Linked DNA regions of Caenorhabditis elegans. The protein of the gene in region 1 interacts with the protein of each later gene in a biochemical or structural test. Each region holds a gene or a part of one and is shown on either strand. Other genes may lie near its edges. The genes, in order: sru-39 and dlg-1.

Region 1 (8,116 bases):
TGGTTGCAACTTCGCACACCAAGAAGTGATCAATCCAGAAGATGGTAGGTTGAAACGAAATAGATCCGAAAAGAAAAAAGCAATATTCTAAAATGTAGAAATTGCTCGAGGAAGCGAAATAATTGAAACCTACCGTTATGAAATAGCACATCAACAATGAGAATAAATGCCCATCAAGTGTTAATTTAGTAAGATTTGCGGGTTGAGTTTGATAGCCTTTGAATATTTTCCACATTACTACAATTGTTGGAACGATGTAACAAAATGGTGCAATTGGAAAAAGTAGAGAAAAATTGAGTTCAAACTCGAAATTGATATAAATCAAATTTCCGTGTATTGAATCTTTCGCGCTCGATTCGCTCATTATCCTGAAAAAAAAATCAAAAATAATTATTATTTAATGTGAAAAGAAAAGCTCCCCTTAGAAAAACTCTACCTCCCTAAAAATTTAAGAGCAAGCGAAAAGAAAGAAAGTCGTAAATATCAGAACGCGAGAAAACAGGGGGTCTGAAGAAATAAATTGCTTACGGATTTAGTTTTTAATTAAAGAGAATGTATCGGAAAAGTAGCAGGTTTTTGTTTTCAAGAAAACTTAAAATCCCAAAAAGTAAGGTAGTATGTTATTCAAATTTAAAATGATACCAACAACATATAAGATGATTTATAGGCACCTAATTAGATAATATTTTGCAAGAATTCAAAGCTTGTTAGTGAAAAAAAAAACCCGGCTTTAAAAATTCGGAATTACAAAGTTTTGTTTGAAAAAATGGAACTCCGAAAATGAAATATTTTTTTAAAACTTTTTTTTTAACTTCATAATCCTTTAAAAATATAAGTTTAATAATAGGTCAAATGGAAATAAAAACATTGTTAATATGGAATTTTTTAATTATGGTTACCCTACATTTTGTGTGTACATAAAAATCCAGTACGTGTTAGTGGCATTTCGTGAATTCAAAATCATGGCTGTACTGCTTCTAGAGATCATTAAAAATTTAAAAAAAACGTTGATTTTCAGCTGAATTGAAATATTGCCAATCGAATCACGAGACACATCTTTTAGGCTCACAGAAAAATAACGAAGAAAAAAGAAAAGAAATGTGCAGGTGAATTTGTTTTCAGTGACTATTAGATTCAATATATTGTTACCAATTTGAATCAACTTACACGATTTTAACGAAAATTTGACAATATTTTGAGAAAACGGTGAGTTCTGGAAATGATCACAACATACACATGATACCACAAAATAATGCTTTCCGGAAAGATAAACTTTTTTCTGTGAAAATTTTTTAATTTGATTATGAAAAGATTGCGACAAAAAAGTTCTATAAAATATCAATTTGTAAATTAGAAAATGTGTTTCACTCTCTTCAAAAAATTAAATATTTATTCAAATTAAAAATGTGCAGAGATGCTTCGTTTTGGACTAACATCACATACAACTTTGATATTATTTTTAGGTTGCTCTTTCTTTTTGAAAATGTGGTGGGTAAAATAAAAATAACATGATACAAAATGGGCCCGAGCATCTAAACAAATGCACCGAGAGAGAAAAATATAAGGATAAGCACTTGGTGCAAAAAGATTGACAAAGGATAGAGTTGCAGGTACCACGACTGGGAGAAGAATCAGAATCATTGTTGCTGTCAACACTTTTTCAGATTTTAGATCTGTTTTTCGGTGTAGCTCGGAACTTCTGAAATTTTAAAATTTTAACTTGAGCAAATGCAATTGACACTAACATTTTCCGTTTTTGCAAAAGTTTGAAGAACATCAAAATTGCAGTGACAATAATTAAAATAATCGAAGCGTTTGAAAACATTGAGTAGAATATTGTGTAAATTCTCTGAAAAATTTATAATTTAAGCGTTTTATCAAATCAAATGCTTACCATATCTCTTGTCAATGCCGTGATAACAATAGCTCCAAACGGAAAAGGTTTGTCCATTTGATAGCAGGAAGTTGTGGAAAAGAAATGAGGAATTCCGAAGCAATGACCAATTATTATAAGACTTGGAGCGATTATGTCAAACACCTTGGATATTGTCTAAATGTCTTTTTATTATTTTTAAAAATGGACCGTGCAAAACATACATCCTTTTGATACTCAGCAGCATACAAAAGTGCAACTCTTTGAACACAAAATGCCAGAGTCATTAAATGAGATGTATAAACAACTCCAATAAATAGTAAAGATAATATTTTAAGAATTAATACAGGTTTTGACTCTGCACAATACGCTGTGAAAATCGATGTCAATGGAATTCGAACAATTAAAAAATCAATGAAAACATGAAATTCTTTCCACAGTTGCATCAAAAGAAATATTCTAAAAACATCCGGTCTCAATACTTTTTTCATTTCGTTGCAATGTTTATGTTTCAAATAGAAAATACACATTTTCACAGTGATCCAAAACGAAAAAATACCGTAGATAGCTGTGACAGCAGCAAAAATAGTCAAAAAATTGAATGTGTATTCAAAATTGAAATATTCCGGTTGAAAATCGATCGCCTTAAATCCATAGACAGACATCTCAAAAATAGATCACCGAACAATAACACCAGGATAGAAAAGAATTGGGGAGGAATTGTTTTGGAGCCAATTCAAAAGTTAATTTACTGATTTTTGTGTTATTCTTTAACAAATATGGCATCAATAATCACCAAATAATATAACTCTAATTTATGGAGCAGACATAAATACTTTATGGAAAACTTGATTTAATTATGACTCATTTGAAAACTTCCAAAACAAAGAAATGACAAATCAAGCAAGAAGTGGGCATTGGGATCTTATACGCCTACACAGATATGATACTGAAAAAAGTATACAGGTTCCAAATTGTTTGTAGTTGCTTTAAAATTGATAATGAATAAATGTTCAAAGCAAGCAGTCTAGTGACTCTCGACTTTGATTTTACTTAACTTTGATTTTCAAATAGTCACGTTTGGTTATAATTGTTTCTTTGAATTTTCAAAAATTTGTTAGATGAAAAACCATGTATTCCAGGAGATCCTGAATGCTCACTCTACCTTTTGCAGCCAAAAGGCAAGACTTTCTGACTATCCTGCGAGTTTTCATGAAAATTTATTTTCCTTTAATGGTGTTCATTGAACAATATATATTACACGAATTGCGGTAAATTGCTTAGCAAGCAATGCGTTCCATGAAGTAAAGTTTTGAAACGTTTCCCCGAAAACTTAAAGAAAAAAATTGGACAACGTTTTTAACTTTTTCACTTCACTTTTTGTGATATGAATGCACTATAAAAACTAGTATCCAGAAAATTATTATCACATTAAAAACTTGTGCTTTGAAATTTTTGAACCCAAAAAAAATATTTTTTCATCCGAAAAAAGACAAATTCAAAATAATTTATTACACATTAAAAATATGTTGACACTGTTCGAATAGTGCTGTCGTTTCGAATTTTAGTACTACGGTTTTTCTTTTTAAAAATGTAATGCGTATAATAGAAATAACAAGAAACAATATGAGCTCGGACATCCAATGCAATGCAACGCAGGAGAAACATATAAGCATATAAATTTGAAGAAAAAAGATTTGCAATTGACAGAATTGATGGAACCACAACAGGGAGAAGAATTAGAATCATTGTAGCTGTTAATACTTTTTCTGATTTTAAATCTACTGGTCGGCGCAACTCGGAAGTTCTGGAAAAGTTTTGTGTAAAATTTATTATAAGGAATTTTAACTTACATCTTCCGTTTATGATACAGCTTTACAAACATCATGATTGTCAATATAATCGTCAGTGTTATATTTGTATTAGAAAAAATTGAGTAAATAATAGTGTAAGTTTTCTGAAAAAATACTTGCATTACGATTAACTTTTGGATTTTCTATGAACCACCATATCCCGGCGTAGAGCTGTGATTACAATTGCTCCAAATGGAAATGGTTCGTCCATTTGATAACAAGAGCTTGATGCAAAAAAGAACGGTATTCCAAAACCATGCCCAACAAATATAATGAGAGGGTTGACAATATCAAATATTTTTGCAATTTTCTGAAAATGAAATGAATTAACACTAGAGGTTCATGAGTTGACATACATCTTTGTGATATTCATGAGCATATAATAATGCAACTCTCTGAATGCAAAACGCAAGAGTTAATGAATGAGATGTATATACAACTCCTGTGAACATCAATGATAATATTTTTAAAAGTAGAACTGGCTTCGATTGATAGCAATAACTGGTAAATAATGATGTAAGTGGAATTCGAACTATCAGAAAATCCATCAAAACATGAAATTCTTTCCATACTTGCATCAAAAGAAACAATCGAAAAACATCAAGACGAAGTCCTCTTTTCACTTCTTCGTTATTTTTATTGTTCAAATAAAAAATGCACATTTTTAGTGTAATCCAAAACGAAAACAGTGTATATGTACAAGTGACTGCTGCGAAAACAGTCCAAACATTGAATGAATATGTAAAATTGGAATATTCAGTCTTATTATCAATTGGTATATGTCCATAAACAGACATGTTGGAAGTTATTCGAAGAATGAAAAGTGTGGTTGACGTATGTCTACTGAAAGTAGGCGCTTTAATTGCCAGCTATTCATAAAATTTCATTGAGCAGTACGTGTATTGGCAAAAGATCAATTTTTAAACTTGCATCTTTTATACTTACATATATACCGGATTATTTAGGTGCTAAGGTCATGTATTTCGGGAAATTCGTAGTACATGCGAAAGATGTGAAAAAGTGTAAAATAAGAAGTCTTGTCTGGTCTCCTGTTTCTGGAATGTGGATAATAGCAGAAAATGAGTGAAATTGAATTCACTTATAAGAATTAAAAGTGTTTACGCGTTTTTATTCAAGTGACGAATGATTGTTCCTGGTAAATGAAATTATGGACTAGCAAAGCAAGTATTTCAGCTGAATATTCGACAGCCAGTTGGAGCCTTCGATATTTGAAAGAAAACCTTAATAATTGGTGACCGCAAAAATTAACTGCAGAAGAGTTTGCTTTTTTGGAACATCGGAAAAAAAAGTTTTTCATCAGAATCAATTATTGTCGATTTTCGATTGCAAGATATTCTAAAAGATTAGCAACAGTTTGAGGTGTTTTCTAGAATTTTTATATTTCGAAAAAACCTAAATTTTTAAATAGAATTCGGCGAACAAAGTTTCAGATTTTTTCAACATAGCTCAAAACGCTCTTTCGCAGGTTTTTGGTAAGTGATTTCAATGGTTTTTCCTTCAAATAACTAGTTTTTTTCTGGATTTTCATGTTTAAACTAAAGTACTATTCTTGTTTAAAAAACATTTGGGTACAAATATATTGGTAAACTAATGCGACGCCCCAACAAATAATGTTTTTTCCTGCAGAGACAAACAAGTCTGCAAAAAATAAGTTTTTGGGTGCGTTGCTCTAATCTGCGAATCAAATGATTTTTAGTTTGAAGGAAATGCCAGTTGAGTAGAAAATTTCAGACGCAAAAGAAATGGGGAAAAATCGCATGAAAAAATTATACAAAATAAACTATCATATTTCTGACATCTTTCAATGCTTGAGCAAAACGAAAAGAATGATCAGTTGAACTTTTGTGGCCTTCTTGGTCTTCTTAGTCTGACCCAAGTTTGGTTTCTTTCCGCTTGAATTCAGCATTTTCACTTTTTCGATATTGTTTCATTCACAACTTGATGAAGAGTGGTACGAATTAATTATTCTAATGATCAAAAATTGAATTTCTCAGAACTTCTGGAATGTAAATATTTTACGAAAAAAATTATTCTTTTAATGATTGAAAAAATAATTCGCGTAGACATCTGGTCTCTATTTTTTTTTAACTTTGAATCGCGTTTTTCTAAAGTTTGTTTACCGCTAATTAGAACAACGTTTAAAAATGATAAGGTCAATTTATACTAGAAAAATTATTTCTACTTTCTTCATCTGGTCAAGCATACAATTCAACTGTCAACATAATGATCATTATAATTGTTATTTCGATGCTTTTTGCAATATCATGTAATAGCTTTCTCGTTTTTTGTGCAAAATTGAAGAAGGACAAGAAGGCTACTTTAGAGGAAGTCACTCCACGGGTAATTCAATATTGTTTCATAGTTTAGAACTTGAACTTCGCAATTGAATAATTGATAATACCATCCAAATTTCAGGGAACCACACCGCTACCGCAATGTTCAAGACAATCGAGGATTGTTGACAGGGATGACAGAGGTTCAACAAAAACGAAAGGAGGTCGGAGAGGAGTCAAAAGCAGTAAAGAACCAGATTCCACGTGAGTTTTCTGCATTTTTGGGGTGATTGGATAGGCATAAAATGTTGTCACAACTTGTTTTTCTTTCGACTTTACTTGAAATAATTTTTTTAAAGATCATTTTTCAGGGATGATGCTTTCAAAGAAATGGCAAAGCGTTTAGCGAAGAAGGATAAACCTGAGAAAACTGGAGATTCAATTGTTGGAGATGACGACGAAAACCCTCTTGCACAGTTCCAGATGCCTGAACGACCAGTTGTCCCACCAAATTAGGATGGTGCAACATTGGAGAACATTGTTGAGATGGAGAAGAAGCCTGTCTCAAAACAACCAACGATTCGAGCTGTAACTCCATCAGGTGGCCCGAAGACTGCACAGGCGATTTCAGTTGCTCAACCGCCTCCTATTCTTCAAAAGTCCCAGAAATCCATTATCCCCAAGAAAGAAAAAACAATAACCACTGATAAGACGCAATCTGATCCACGTGCCAGAGAGATTGAGAGCACTCAGCATGTGACCAATATGACACTTGAAGATGCAATCGATACTGGGAAAAACGAAAAGGAACCTGCAAAATCCGTGGTAATTTTTTTTAACTGTAAAAGTAGTATACAGTGCGTGCAACTTCTATAGCGCCCCCTATTTTTTTCGTGTTTCGTCACTTTCCCAAACTTTTTTGAGAAAACCATTATAGCCATTCGATTTTAAATGTCAAAAAACCCCCTGCCCGAAATTTTCATGAAAAAATATCAAAGACTACGGTAATTAGGTCAAAAAGTCTGAAAAACGACCGTGCAACTTCTATAGCGCTCCCTCGAATTTTCGCTATTTTTCAATAAAATACCTAGTTTTATGAGATTTCTGAAAAGGATATAGTATTATATATTAAGAAAAATGATCATAAGGTTTCATTTTTCAATTTTCAACAGAAATATATTACGTGAAAACTTCTGGGATCCCAAGAGTGGCCTGAAACGCTTCACTTTGCGTTAGTGGCCAGTTCTCGGCTACCACTGCATGTATTGATACGAAACTTGACCGAAATTTTCATTTTGATTTACTGATAATGTTTCAATAAGTTGTCATAAAATTTGGTCAATATGGGCCAGGTTGACAGACCAAGTTAATAGTAAGTCTAGTAACCAATCAGTTGTTCTATCGATAAAACACATCTGAGGCATGTCAGAGAATGGATGTGCGTCTTTTCTGGTAGACAAGATATCCATTCAATTAACTATTTAAAACAAATTTTGTCCGGATCGAAAAATGTTGGAAAATGATCGGTAAAATTCGAGAAATATCCCTCAAACAAATTAACATGTGCAGAAACACTGGGCGGGTCTGTTTCCCGTGGTTCCGCGCGTTTCATTCGAGATCGAACGACAAAAGAACTGTCGAAGTGTTCAGAGGGGTCACAGAACTTGCATCCGAACTTAATATTTCAAAGTGTTTGTTAAAAACTAAAAATTCACCCAAAAACCTGCGGGCAGTGAACTTGCCCAGTTTTGATGTATGTGCAATTTTTTTAAAGGAGATCTCCTGCATTGGACCAATCATTTTTCAAAAGTTTTTTGTTCGAATAACACTTATAAAAATTTCAACAATGAATATGAAGCTTTTCTACTAGAAATGAACCGCGTCCAATCTCTGGCACGTCGCAAAATTCTGTTCTAGAGAGAAAAACTGATTTCCTCACAATGAGCAGCGCTATCTACCTTACCTATCTCTACCGAATTTAATATCAACCTTTCAAAATATCTTTAGTGAACAAAATTAAATTATTAGTTCAAGTTTCGTAATGAATGCTTTTTTCTTAATATATAATACTATATCCTTTTCAGAAATCTCATAAA
Region 2 (12,380 bases), on another chromosome or scaffold:
GACCACCTATGTTGTTTTTCACTATTTTAATTTTAAAAAAGAAAGGTTTTATTTTAATGTGCATTCTGAAATGATGAAAAAAGAGTAGCCCTGAGGTAAAAAGGAGAAGCTGACCACATAATTTCATGGTCCAACAAGCTCCTCCTGTTGCTAGGTAACGTCAAATTTGAATTCACAGTTTACCAAACTAGTCAAATAACTAGATTAAGACATATTTAATGAGTATAGACATTTATGTTTCAGAAAAAAATGTTTTTAACCCACCTTACTAACAAAATCGGAAAATTCCGGAGATCCAAGTAAATTATTATAGTTTCAATAAAGTTTCAACTTTTGAGTTTCTTGTCAATTTAGCACATTTTGATAAAATTTAATGTTTCTTCCGAAAACATACTTTTGGAACTAAATTTTAACAAAGTGTTTGAGGAGGTTTAACGTTTCAATCCGGAAACTAAAAACAAGTCAGCTGTTGGGGGTAAGTATAAATTGATTATTTTTGTGATGCAAGAAAACATGAGTGCAACTGAGCTTCTCTTCTTCTTCTAAATTTTACATTGAAAGTATATTTAACTCAATATTTCTACATTGAATTAGATATTTCAGACAAAAGCTAGACTTTCTGTGTTTTAAATGAAAATTGAAGCTGAGTTAAAAGTTTGAAATTTTTCAGTCAATATTCCAACTTCCATTTATTTATTATTCCAATTTTTCAATTTAATTATAATTTTTTCCAATTCAAATAGCAAAAAAACGCATCTCTTGTTATCTGTCGCTGCCAATGTTTCCCTCATGTTTTAATGATTAGTCGGGGTGGCTCTGTGTTGGCTCTCCGCACATGCCTGCCAGAACAGATAAGAGGTGATTGTAAGTCGGCCGTCGCGGGGGCTCTTAAAGCAACAACTAACGTCTGGCGCGTTTGAAAATGAGGACCGAGTGACCGGTCTATATGTTTTATTCAAATAAAACAATGGGCCGCATAATCCGCATGTTTTGTCCTTCTTCTTCTTCTTGATTTCGCACTCCGGGGCACAGTCGCTTCTCTTGCATAATTTTAGTGAGTGGGCGCCCCCTTGTTAGTGATCTCAAAAACCATGTCCTTGAAACATCTTCGGATTATCTAATCCTTTTTCTCTCTGCTGCGTTATATCTAAACCCTCTTGATGTTTCAGTTAATAATATTTTAATTAATTGACTCTTACAACTTTTCCTTTCACAAATCTAAATAAAACCCCTTCACTTTTTTCTCACATATTCCAAATGATTAGTCTAGGAAGTGCAAAGACCTGAAACCCCCTGCTGTTTTCGCGAATGATCTCCATTTTAGGAATGAGGGCGCAAAACTATTTGTCAGCTTAGAAAGTCCCCCACAGAGAATGAAAGATGCATAAGCATTTTCGTCTCTTCTTCTCCACGCACCAGCGCCTATGTCGGTCGTTATACAGTGAATACTATTCTATCTACATCTTACCCTCTATATTTTCACACGTTTTACATGTTATCAATAGAGCCGACTTGTCATGCACATCATGCATATACATATATAATTTTCTCTTCCCTTCTTTCCTTCATTGTATCAAGTGTGTCATTTTGAAAGAAAAAATCATTTTGAAAGGTAAGAGTTGCCAGTCTCATTAGTATAAAATGGTTGACTCATTTCCGTTTCTAATGACACTTGATCTCCAACACTGTGTCGCATTTTCATCGTACTGATTGTTTGTCATGATAATATTTGTTGAGAAACTATTATCTTGCGGCAGCCAAAACCAGCACCCTTGCTTTTCCGCTCCTTTTCCTTCTGCTTCTTCTTCTTATTCTGCTTCTTCGTATTGAGGGGCCTCCGATTTTATGGCCATTACAAGCAAAACCACGACGCTCACATATAAGCAGTGAGATGGCCGTTCGATTCTCATACCGTTCGTTTTCTCGTTTCCTCGTTTTTATCAATCGATTTGCAGTGATTTTTTACCTGGCTCTTCTTTTTTTTCCTCTCTCACTGCGTTTTCCCAATGTGTCCCATGATCGGTTGTTGATTCGATTCAGTTCTGTATTTGTCTATCTATCGATGTTCTAACATTCTAGTTGCACTGTTACTTCTATGGAATGTATTAGTGTGTTTCCCTTTTTTACTAAACATCTGTACATTGTTGTTTAGATGTCGTGAGATCGCAAGTGTATGTTTTTTTGGAAACTTTATGAACTCTTTTGTACGGTTATTTTTGTGCAATATATGAGTCACTTTGCAAACATTCTTTGATGCTGATATTTTTATCAGTAATAATAAAATCAAGAAACTAAGGTATGGGTATATTTTAGACGTTTTGTGTTCCCATTTTAGTCATAAAATCCCAAAAGTACATAAAATCGCTACAGTCAAGGCGCACTAAAAAAACCTTTTTAAAAAAATAGAAAAAAATATGACTTTTTTAATTCCATATTTCGAAATAGTAGTAGAGTATTCGCCTCGCCACAACTTTTTTGGCGCATTTGTTCCCGGCATGTTTTTGGTACAATAGACGACGTTCGCTATCTTCTTCCCGCATGTCGTGACTAATGTCCCGTTGGCTTGTACATGTTGAATATAATTTCACACACACACACACACACACACACAGCGTGACGCATAAGTTAGTGTTGTTTTTTCTATGCTGGCCGGGTCTGTTCCACTTCTCATCTTGACCATTTATGTTTCGACACTGTGATTTGTTTCAAGTCGACTTGTTCCTGTTTTTTGTTCAGTTCTTTGGAAATCAAGTGGCTATTGAAATATATTTTTTGTGAACTCAAATTTGCAGACGTGTCTGTGACCATTAATTTCAAACTATACAATTTTATGGCATTATTTTCTAATAAAACCCCCATTTTGTTTAGATAAAATTGTTAGTGTTCTAATGAAACATACATTTTAGAGCGAAGATAATTTTAACTATTTAACTTAAAGAGACGTGATGGGGTGGTAACAATTTAAAATTTCTGGCTTGTATATATTTTTGGCATCTGTGATAAAGACAAATTGTAGGAATATGTTAATTTAAATAAACTTAATCCAAAATTTTTGGATTTATTTTTCAGGACTCATTATGAAACCTTCCAGGGAGCCAAAACCCTCCGAACTTAATCTCCTTTATTTAAATTCAGAATTTTACAAAATATCCAAAGATAAAAATACCTAATAATAGTTTACTAATTTTTGAATTAGATGACAACCTTTCAAAACAATCGACTCCCCGCTCCTCCTACCAGGTCCCTCTCCGATGGTGCGGTTTGTCGCCTCGCGTCTATAATAAAACCACCGGCGGAGGTGGTTGGTGTCCAATAAACGTTGAAGACCCCCACCGTTTATACCCAAACGCCCTTCTTTTTTACCTCTTCTTCTACTCAAGCATATCTATCAGATCTCTCACACACAGTCTTCCCTTCTGGTAGATACTAATCTAGAGTAAGATGCGACCCGCCCGGAGGAAGACGAGAGGAATATTTATATTTTTCCCCCTCATCCAACCTACTGAATCATACCAATAGTTGGTGGGAATTGCCGAACAAAAAATAAACATATCCATGACTCGACACAAGTGAAATGCGAAACCTAGCGTCTTCCATCTTCTATGTACGGGATATCCTTCTATTTTTCTATCCACGATGGATTATGATTTATGAATCTTCCTAGATTTTTCAAAAAATTTCATTTACTCCTTCCCCTGCTCGTTTTGCTCTGCATCTTGTTTCTATTATTTACATCAAGTTCGCTAAAACAAACTCAATGGCGGCCTGCTTGTGTGTATGTGTGTGTGTGTGTGCGTGTGTTTGCCGTAAATTCTTGTTTCTTTCTGATAAGTTATGTCTTATCGCCGCACAGTTTTTCCTTTTCGTCTTCAATGCCTCCTTCTTACCGAGCTCTGTTTTTAGATTATTAGAAGCATTAAAACCAGTCGTCTATTTCTATTTTCAGTCTCAAAAACTTGTTGATCAATTTAATTTTTTCAATTTTCAGCGACCAGCATCGAAAGAAAACCGATCGGAGTGGGAAGAACGCCTCACCGAAGGAAGGAAGCATGTCCCACGAGTCATCGGAAAGTGAGTTCTAGACATTTAAGTTTCAAACTGTTTCTATTTTGCAAAACGTTCAATGTCCACTAATCTCAATTGTTTGCCACAGTTTTCTCCTAACCAATTATCACCGAACCCATTTCCTACGGTCGCCGTGGTCGTTAAACTCAATGTCACAATGACCAGAATTAGCCAAGGCAACACACCAACTTATGTACATTCTTGCGTTTTCTACGCTCCCCCTTTCCCTGCCTTCTTATGACTTCAATGCGATGATCGCATCTCAACAGTCTTCTTATCACCTCGAAACTGCCAAATACGGCCACCCCGCCTCATGAGGTATTGTGGTGTTGACACTTACACATTTCGATACACATACACATATACGTAATAATTTTGCTATATACGTTTTCGAAAAGTTCACACTACTCGGAGCCTCCTCCTCCTCCCCGCCAGGTGAATGCTTTCTGGCGCGCATGATGGTGAGGATGCGTCTCTGAATGTGCAAACATTATATTTGTATAAGAAGGCGAAGAAGACGCAGTGGGAGGAATAGAAGGCAAAAAGAAAGAGGGCAAAGAGAAAACAATCTGTTTGTGATGGTGTGTGTACGTGTCCGACAGTCCAACCAGGAGTCTCCCCTTTATTCATCGGAGACATCTTTCCGGGGCCAGTCTTGTACATTCCGAAGGGAAAGGGGAGAAAGGAGGGAAAACGAGGGAGATTGCGCATCCTCGCAGGGTGACTCATCGTTATTTGCCGGGATGGGAAAGAAAGCGCATGATAACCTTTTTTGTTGACCATGTTTTGCCGCAAAATGAGTCATCAACCTAGACTTGTTACACTTTGCGACTTGGGATGTGCATAATCCTACAACAATTATAACTGAACATGAAACTGTATTTTCAGAAGCGCATAAAGCGATAGAAAATGTGGAGGACTACTGCCAGACACTGACAAGACACGGCAATGAGGAGCTACGCACAAACCTGGAACGAGTTATCACCACATTCAAATCAAACCTGATGCATTCGTTGCTCGACATTCACGATCTGTACGAGCAGACGCTGCTCAGCGAGCGAAAATCAGATGCAGAGAAAAATATGGAAGTAAGGCGTGTGATTGAGCGACTCGAAGGTGGACCACACTCCTACAACAGTCGTCCGGCTGCGACGACTTCCACGTCGAACTACAACCTTTCAAGCACAACTCCACTTATTTCAGATGTAAGCTCTGCTTTCTTTTTTTCTCTGGATTTGGATTCTAGATTTTTTTAATACTTTATAAAAAAAATTATTTTAGCTGAGAGATCGGGGAGGTTTCTCGTATTTGAACGGCGGAGGCCTTGGAAACGGGCTTGGGAATGGACTTGGAAACGGACTTCTGTCTTCTCCGTACAACTCATCCAGCACTCACTACCTTCATGAGCGTCAACGTCAGACCAGTCATGATGGAACATGGCGGGAAACAACCACAAGAACAGTTGACACTCCAAGTGGTCTTGAAAGACGTGTGGTTGAAGTAAGATAATTTTGGCTCAATATTAGTTTTAATTATCATATATTCAGCATACTGGAGTTATCGATGATCATGGTCGTAAATGGGAGCTTGAGAATATTGTCTTGGAGAAAGGTCACACCGGCCTTGGATTCTCGATTACTGGAGGTATGCGCGTTCAACCGGTATTTATGATGTAACATATCTGATTATAGGTATGGACCAACCAACAGAAGACGGAGATACTTCTATCTATGTCACCAATATTATTGAAGGAGGTGCCGCACTTGCTGATGGGCGTATGAGGTAAAAAACCGCAATTTAAGATGAACAGAACTTTATGGTCATGTTTTTTTTAGAAAGAATGATATTATCACTGCAGTCAACAATACAAACTGTGAAAATGTGAAGCATGAGGTTGCAGTCAACGCATTGAAAAGCTCCGGAAACGTTGTTTCGTTGAGTTTGAAACGGCGTAAAGATGAAGCCTTTCTTCCAATTGGAGGAAACTTTGGCGGGTCGACTTCTTACCTCAGATCAGGAGTCACTCCATCAGTGAGCGCCGGCAACTTGCAACACGCAATTCATTCTCCATCGGCTCCGATTCATCCACCACCGCCACCACCAGTTCATCACGGATCATTGAGCCAATTATCTGTTGGCCAATATCGTTCCACACGACCGAATACATCCGTCATTGATCTGGTTAAGGTTGGCGACATTTTCTCTTTCCAAAGTACAAAAGAATCTATGTGAACTTTTTTTAGGGAGCACGTGGACTTGGTTTCTCTATTGCTGGTGGTCAAGGAAACGAGCACGTTAAAGGAGATACCGATATCTATGTGACGAAAATCATTGAGGAGGGAGCAGCTGAATTAGACGGAAGATTAAGAGTCGGAGATAAGATTCTTGAAGTTGATCATCACTCTTTGATTAACACGACTCATGAAAATGCGGTCAATGTTCTCAAAAACACTGGAAATCGTGTTCGACTTCTTATTCAGCAAGGAACTGGGGCAATTTTCAATGACTCGGCGAGCCAACAATTCATGCCAACTACCCCAATTCTCAGACGTAAGACAATCCCAAGAATCAAAAATAATAATATAGTTTCTAATTAATTTCATTTCAGCTAGCTCCGTTCAAGACTACAACCGCTCTCAAATGGGATCTCAAAGTCATTTGTCTTACGGAGGACCACTGAACACCAGCTACAGTTCACAAGCCCCCATCGCAATTCCACTCGAACCCCGTCCAGTACAACTTGTAAAGGGCCAAAATGGACTTGGATTCAACATTGTTGGCGGAGAAGACAATGAGCCCATCTACATCAGTTTTGTTCTCCCAGGAGGTGTTGCTGATCTTAGTGGAAACGTGAAGACTGGAGACGTTCTTCTTGAAGTGAACGGAGTTGTTTTGAGAAATGCAACCCATAAGGAAGCAGCTGAAGCATTGAGAAACGCTGGAAATCCCGTTTATCTCACTCTTCAGTACAGACCACAAGAGTATCAAATTTTTGAGTCCAAAATTGAGAAGCTGAGAAACGACGTGATTGCTCAATCTAGAATGGGAACTTTGAGCAGAAAGTCTGAATATGTTAGGTAAGAAGATTTGTTTACTTATAAATGTATACATATATCAACGAATAACATCTTTCAGAGCACTTTTCGATTATGATCCATCACGTGAAAACTCTGTTGCTCCCCATAGATCAATGGGATTTAACTATGGTGACATCCTACATATCATCAACTCATCTGACGATGAATGGTGGACAGCTAGAAAAGTTCACGAAAACGGAGAAGAAACAGCTGAAGGAGTGATTCCATCAAAGAAACGTGTCGAGAAGAGAGAACGACTTCGTCGGAAGCAAGTCAACTTCAACTCGGGATCGCAGTCTCTTGGAAGAAACTCGAGCACTACTGGATTGGAAAACCGAAGAGGAAGCCGCAGTCAGCTTTCCTTCTCCAGAAAGTTCCCATTCGTCAAAAGTACCGACCGGCTCAACGATCTTAATGAGGAATCCTCAAATGTAGCTGAAGAGCCAGTGTGGTCCTACCAGGCAGTTGAGCAACAGGCGATCAACTACGTTCGTCCAGTGATCATTCTTGGAGCTCTCAAAGACCGAATCAACGATGAACTTGTCAACCGCGACCCTTCGAAATTCAGTAGCTGCGTTCCACGTAAGTTGTGAAGTTATTAACTACTTTAAAAAAGAGAACATTTCTAAATAGTATGTGCAATATACTCATAATACCCTTTTCAGACACTTCCCGACCACCACGCGAGGGAGAGGTTAACGGACGTGACTACTACTTTGTCAACAAGCACAATATGGAGGAAGATGTCAAGAATAATCTCTTCATTGAAGCGGGACAATTCCAAAACAATCTCTACGGAACTAGCATTCAAAGCGTCCGAGATGTCGCCAACCAAGGAAGACACTGTATTCTGGACGTCAGTGGAAATGCTATCCGACGACTTCAAAGCAATGCCAATATTCAACCAATCTCGATCTTCATCAAGCCCAGCTCTGCACAACAGATTCTGTAAGTTAAATTGTAAAAAGAAGCTTTATCAATCTGCAAAATTTCAGTGAATTGGACAGCCAACTTGCCACCAACCGACAAGACGATCGAGCGATGAGTGGCGAAGAAGCTCAAGCGCAGTATTCCAGATGTCATAGAATTGAGCAAACTTTCGGGGATTTGTTCACGCGTATGTCTTTTTTCCAACCATTATTATCAAATATCTGATTTTTTATTTATTTCAGAAGAAATCTCAAATGTGCACAGCGCGAATGACGTTTTGAGCAAAGTGTACTCCATCATCAGCCGTGAATCGCAGACGCCAATTTGGGTGCCACGTCATTAGATGAAATTGGATATTTTTTAGACAAATAATCGTTTCTTCAAGAAATATGTCTTCTTGAAATTAATTAATATACAGTTTAATTTACCTTAATAATTAGACTACGCCGTGTTGTGATACTTTTTTTTAATCTGAGAAAAGTGATCCTTTGAAAAAACTCTTGATGTCATTTGCTTTATCCTGTTTCCATCCCCATCTTTATTTGTATTTTGTTTAGTACCCCTTCCCTATTATGCATTAATTTACATGACCTTTCCAAGTTCTCAATTCAAGAAACTCTACTACTCGAACTCAGAAACGTGAAAGGCCAATATTTCAATAGTTTTCTGATTCTTTTTTTCTTTTACCTTGCTCATTATTTTCATTTTCAATCATAACTCTCCACAATCACTGCCAGAAAACGGTGAATCGTTTCTACTTTTGTCTCCGAATATTTTACTACGATAGTTTGTACTGCCTGTTTTCTCTACAGCCCATTTTATCTTGAAATTCACCTTACAAATACTTGCATTTTATAATCCGCCCCAGCTTTCCTTCCTTCTTCCCTCTCCTTCCTCCCCCAACTCAATTCACTTCTTACTTGAAATTGTGACAGTTTGTGATATTCTCAACGCTTCATTTGTCTCTACTAACCGCAAATCATTATCATATTCCCGACTCTCTACTGATGAAAAACTTCGGCTCATTTCTATTTTTTGGGACTTTTATTACTCTGAGAGCATTTTATTTTCATCCATTGGTTCCAAACTTTTTTTTTTTAATTATTTTTAAAAACTTTTTATACAAATTATCTTGAATAAAGATTTTATTGCATCTGCAAAACATACATGTGTTGAAGTAACAAGAAAAAACTTTATTTTCAGTATATCAGGGTGTTCTGAAAATGACTGCGGCAATTTGTCATTAAAAATATTCATTTTATTAGATCGCTGGAAAAATTCCGAAACAAAAGGATTTGAAGTACTCTTCAGAATCCGTTTCGAAATGTGCTTCCGTAGCGCAGTAGGCAGCGCGTCAGTCTCATAATCTGAAGGTCGTGAGTTCGAGCCTCACCGGGAGCAATCTTTTTTGCCTAATATATTTCTTCGACTGAAATATTGTTCCTGATATTTTATTAGTCTTTCAATTAACGAAAAAAACATGTATTTTAAACGCAAAATAAGATTAGAATGATTTTAAAATATCAATAATATTTTAATTACTGACTATGAGTTAAATTTGAGATTTTTCAACTAGACTATTTACAGTTGTGATATTTTCAAATCCCTGTCCCACTTGGGATCTCAGTTTTTGCATCCTTTCTCAAGTCCTTTGTGAAGAGTTCACAACGTGCTTCCGTAGCGCAGTAGGCAGCGCGTCAGTCTCATAATCTGAAGGTCGTGAGTTCGAGCCTCACCGGGAGCAATTTTTTTTTTGAAGTTTTCCCAAGTAGCATAAGTTGCCATGAAGAAAACTGTAATTTTAATTTAATTTTTAATTTAACTGTTTAAATTCATTTTTTAATTTGAGTCAAAGCTAGCAATTTATTTTATCTCACATTTTGTTAATTTGAAACACAGACTGGCTCGAATTTAAGAACATTTTTTTATTCTTTTGATCCTACTTTGCAGACGTTGTTCAGTGCTTCCGTAGCGCAGTAGGCAGCGCGTCAGTCTCATAATCTGAAGGTCGTGAGTTCGAGCCTCACCGGGAGCAATCTTTTTTATTTTATTGATATCTTGATTTTAAATTTATGAATGTTTATAATTGTAGAATAGTTCCTCATTTTCTCATTTTTAATTTATTTTTACATAGCAAAGTTACTTGTTTTACTCTTTTCTGCCTCATTAAATGTGTTTCATTGTTTTTATGTTCACGCTTTAATTTTTCTGTAACAATAGTATGATATCGCTTACGGTTTAAATAACTTTAAAAGATTTCAGTTCTACCATAGTACCATTGAGATAAAATAAAGGGTAAAATAATTGAGCTAGGTCATGTCAGTGACCCCCTTTCATGCAATTTTTCGTGTGCGCGCACAAAACGCGTCAATAGGATGGTTGACGTCTTTTCCGTGTGAACGTGCGTGCTTTATGAACGTATTAAAGTTTATCGGATATTCTTAACTAGTTTCTCACAAATTTGTTTGCATTCCCAACTTGTATGACGGTTCTTTATTTTTTATTATTCGTTTTTTTTTTTTTGGAAAATGAGACAGTTAATTTTATTCTATTGTAATGTTTGTTTACTGGTTTACTAACTGAATTTCTTAGTGAAAATAATGTTTAATAAAAAGTTAAAATGAATAATGAATATCTCAAAATAATATAGTAGTTGTGTATATCTTCTTTGAATTCGTAAATACCTTCAAAAACAAATTTCCCAGATCAACCATGGCAAAAATGAAAATGACACAAGAGGAACTAGTGCAAGCATTTAATCAATACATGCCAAAACGACCGGTTTATCCTCCACTGGTTCACGATGATGACGTGCTCGCACATTCCGCCACAGAGTCGGAAGGAAGTGACGAAGAAGAGGATGATTTGACGTAATGTTTTATTTAGCTCATAATCCTTTAATAATAATTGTTCTGAACGTTCAAGAAATTTTCTAATTCCAAAATAACCAGTATGTGGAAGTATGTCCAAAATTGTGGTCCAAAAATGTGATATTAAATTTTCACTCTGTTAAAAATATTTGAACAAAAATTTATATGCGGTTGCAGGGAAAAAACAAAAATGTTTTTAAATAAAAAAAACTTTGGAAATGTTATATCCAAAAGGATGTTATAATAATACTTCAAACATTTTTAGGCTTCACAATGTGTTCAGTTAAAGTTTTTTAAACCAAAATTCTAAAAAAGGCTTCTTGAACAAGCTTTAAATGGCTCCCATCAAAAAATTAGTGGGATAAGAGCAGTTTTAACCAGAAAACGTTCATTGTATTATTTCACCAAGGCTAGACAGAAATTTTAAATTTTATTTGAAAACTTTGAAAAAGAAAATTTTAACTGTCATTTTTTGACCAAGTTTACATTCTTTAGTTGAAAAACGAAAAAAGAGGTGTTTTCCCAGAAATTTTTTCTAAACCATTTTGTATTGGAACTTGCCTACTTACACTAAAACAAACTTTATATTTTCAGAAAGCGATTGAAAGTGACTTTGGCATTTTCAACAGACATGATGTCAGAATGCCGCACAGCCTGGGAAGACTCAACTTGTAAACCACCGATTCAGTATCTCGAGGACAATATTCAAAAAGATGTTGAATATGTATGGTTAAAATATCATAAATAAAATACCATATCATTTTTCGATTTTCAGATACTCGAGAAACTGGTCAATCTGAAAATCAAGCCCAACAATCCAATTGAATGGCTTGGATACTGTCTTTTGAACATGAACATCAATGATCCTCGAAAATCAAAAGATCACAAAAATAAACCATCGGAATTGTTGCGAGACTTTAAAATCGAAGCGCTTGTCAATATGGTATGGAATATGGAGGAAGGTGGCTCAGGAAGCATTTCTACTTTGCACAAGCAGGCACCTAGTCCAACAGCTGGAAAACGAAGGAATCCTTCTTGATTTTGTAACGAAAATTAACAATTCACAAATAGGTGTCTAAAACTATACCCCATCAACTTGTTATGAACAAGAATTCCAGAAATTATCATTTTCGTTTTTTTTTGTTGTAAAATCTGAACATAACCATTCTTTCACAATCATTCACTTTTTATACTTTTTTCTTGTCCCGTGCATTACTCGCATCAAAATTCCTAGTCATCTTGAACTTTTGGAATTTATGTCCAGATTCCATTCCAAGTCTGGTGCATGTGCTTGGTTTTTTCCCCAAATTTTCATTTTGTGACCGTTTCCACAAACTGGTTATCTTTGCAACTTGCAAATCCGCCATTCCTCTGTGCATTGCACTCTTCTGTGCATAAATATGTGTATCTATTTATCAATTTGAATAATGAACTTTTC

What was found.
Region 2: the proteins of sru-39 (region 1) and dlg-1 form a complex in vitro, tested with the Caenorhabditis elegans proteins (one study listed by BioGRID).

The regions. Positions count from the first base shown.
Region 1 is NC_003283.11:9,799,883-9,807,998, reverse strand, and holds sru-39 (Serpentine Receptor, class T), read right to left. Parts: upstream 4,524-8,116; coding exon 4,083-4,523; intron 4,037-4,082; coding exon 3,878-4,036; intron 3,831-3,877; coding exon 3,727-3,830; intron 3,681-3,726; coding exon 3,392-3,680; downstream 1-3,391. Other genes in the region: sru-37 (Serpentine Receptor, class U), read right to left, coding at 1,399-1,699, 1,746-1,849, 1,895-2,050, 2,098-2,538; F46B6.10 (uncharacterized protein), read left to right, coding at 5,971-6,087, 6,163-6,284, 6,392-6,536.
Region 2 is NC_003284.9:5,475,712-5,488,091, forward strand, and holds dlg-1 (Disks large homolog 1), read left to right. Parts: upstream 1-3,988; 5' UTR 3,989-4,049; coding exon 4,050-4,071; intron 4,072-4,280; exon of another isoform or gene 4,281-4,391; intron 4,392-4,507; exon of another isoform or gene 4,508-4,785; intron 4,786-4,953; coding exon 4,954-5,270; intron 5,271-5,346; coding exon 5,347-5,565; intron 5,566-5,612; coding exon 5,613-5,709; intron 5,710-5,756; coding exon 5,757-5,847; intron 5,848-5,900; coding exon 5,901-6,252; intron 6,253-6,308; coding exon 6,309-6,615; intron 6,616-6,673; coding exon 6,674-7,142; intron 7,143-7,200; coding exon 7,201-7,724; intron 7,725-7,807; coding exon 7,808-8,090; intron 8,091-8,137; coding exon 8,138-8,259; intron 8,260-8,314; coding exon 8,315-8,415; 3' UTR 8,416-9,230; downstream 9,231-12,380. Other genes in the region: C25F6.1 (Condensin-2 complex subunit H2), read left to right, coding at 10,785-10,942, 11,537-11,666, 11,718-11,981. UniProt on the Caenorhabditis elegans protein: Essential multidomain scaffolding protein required for normal development. Recruits channels, receptors and signaling molecules to discrete plasma membrane domains in polarized cells. Required for proper embryonic elongation.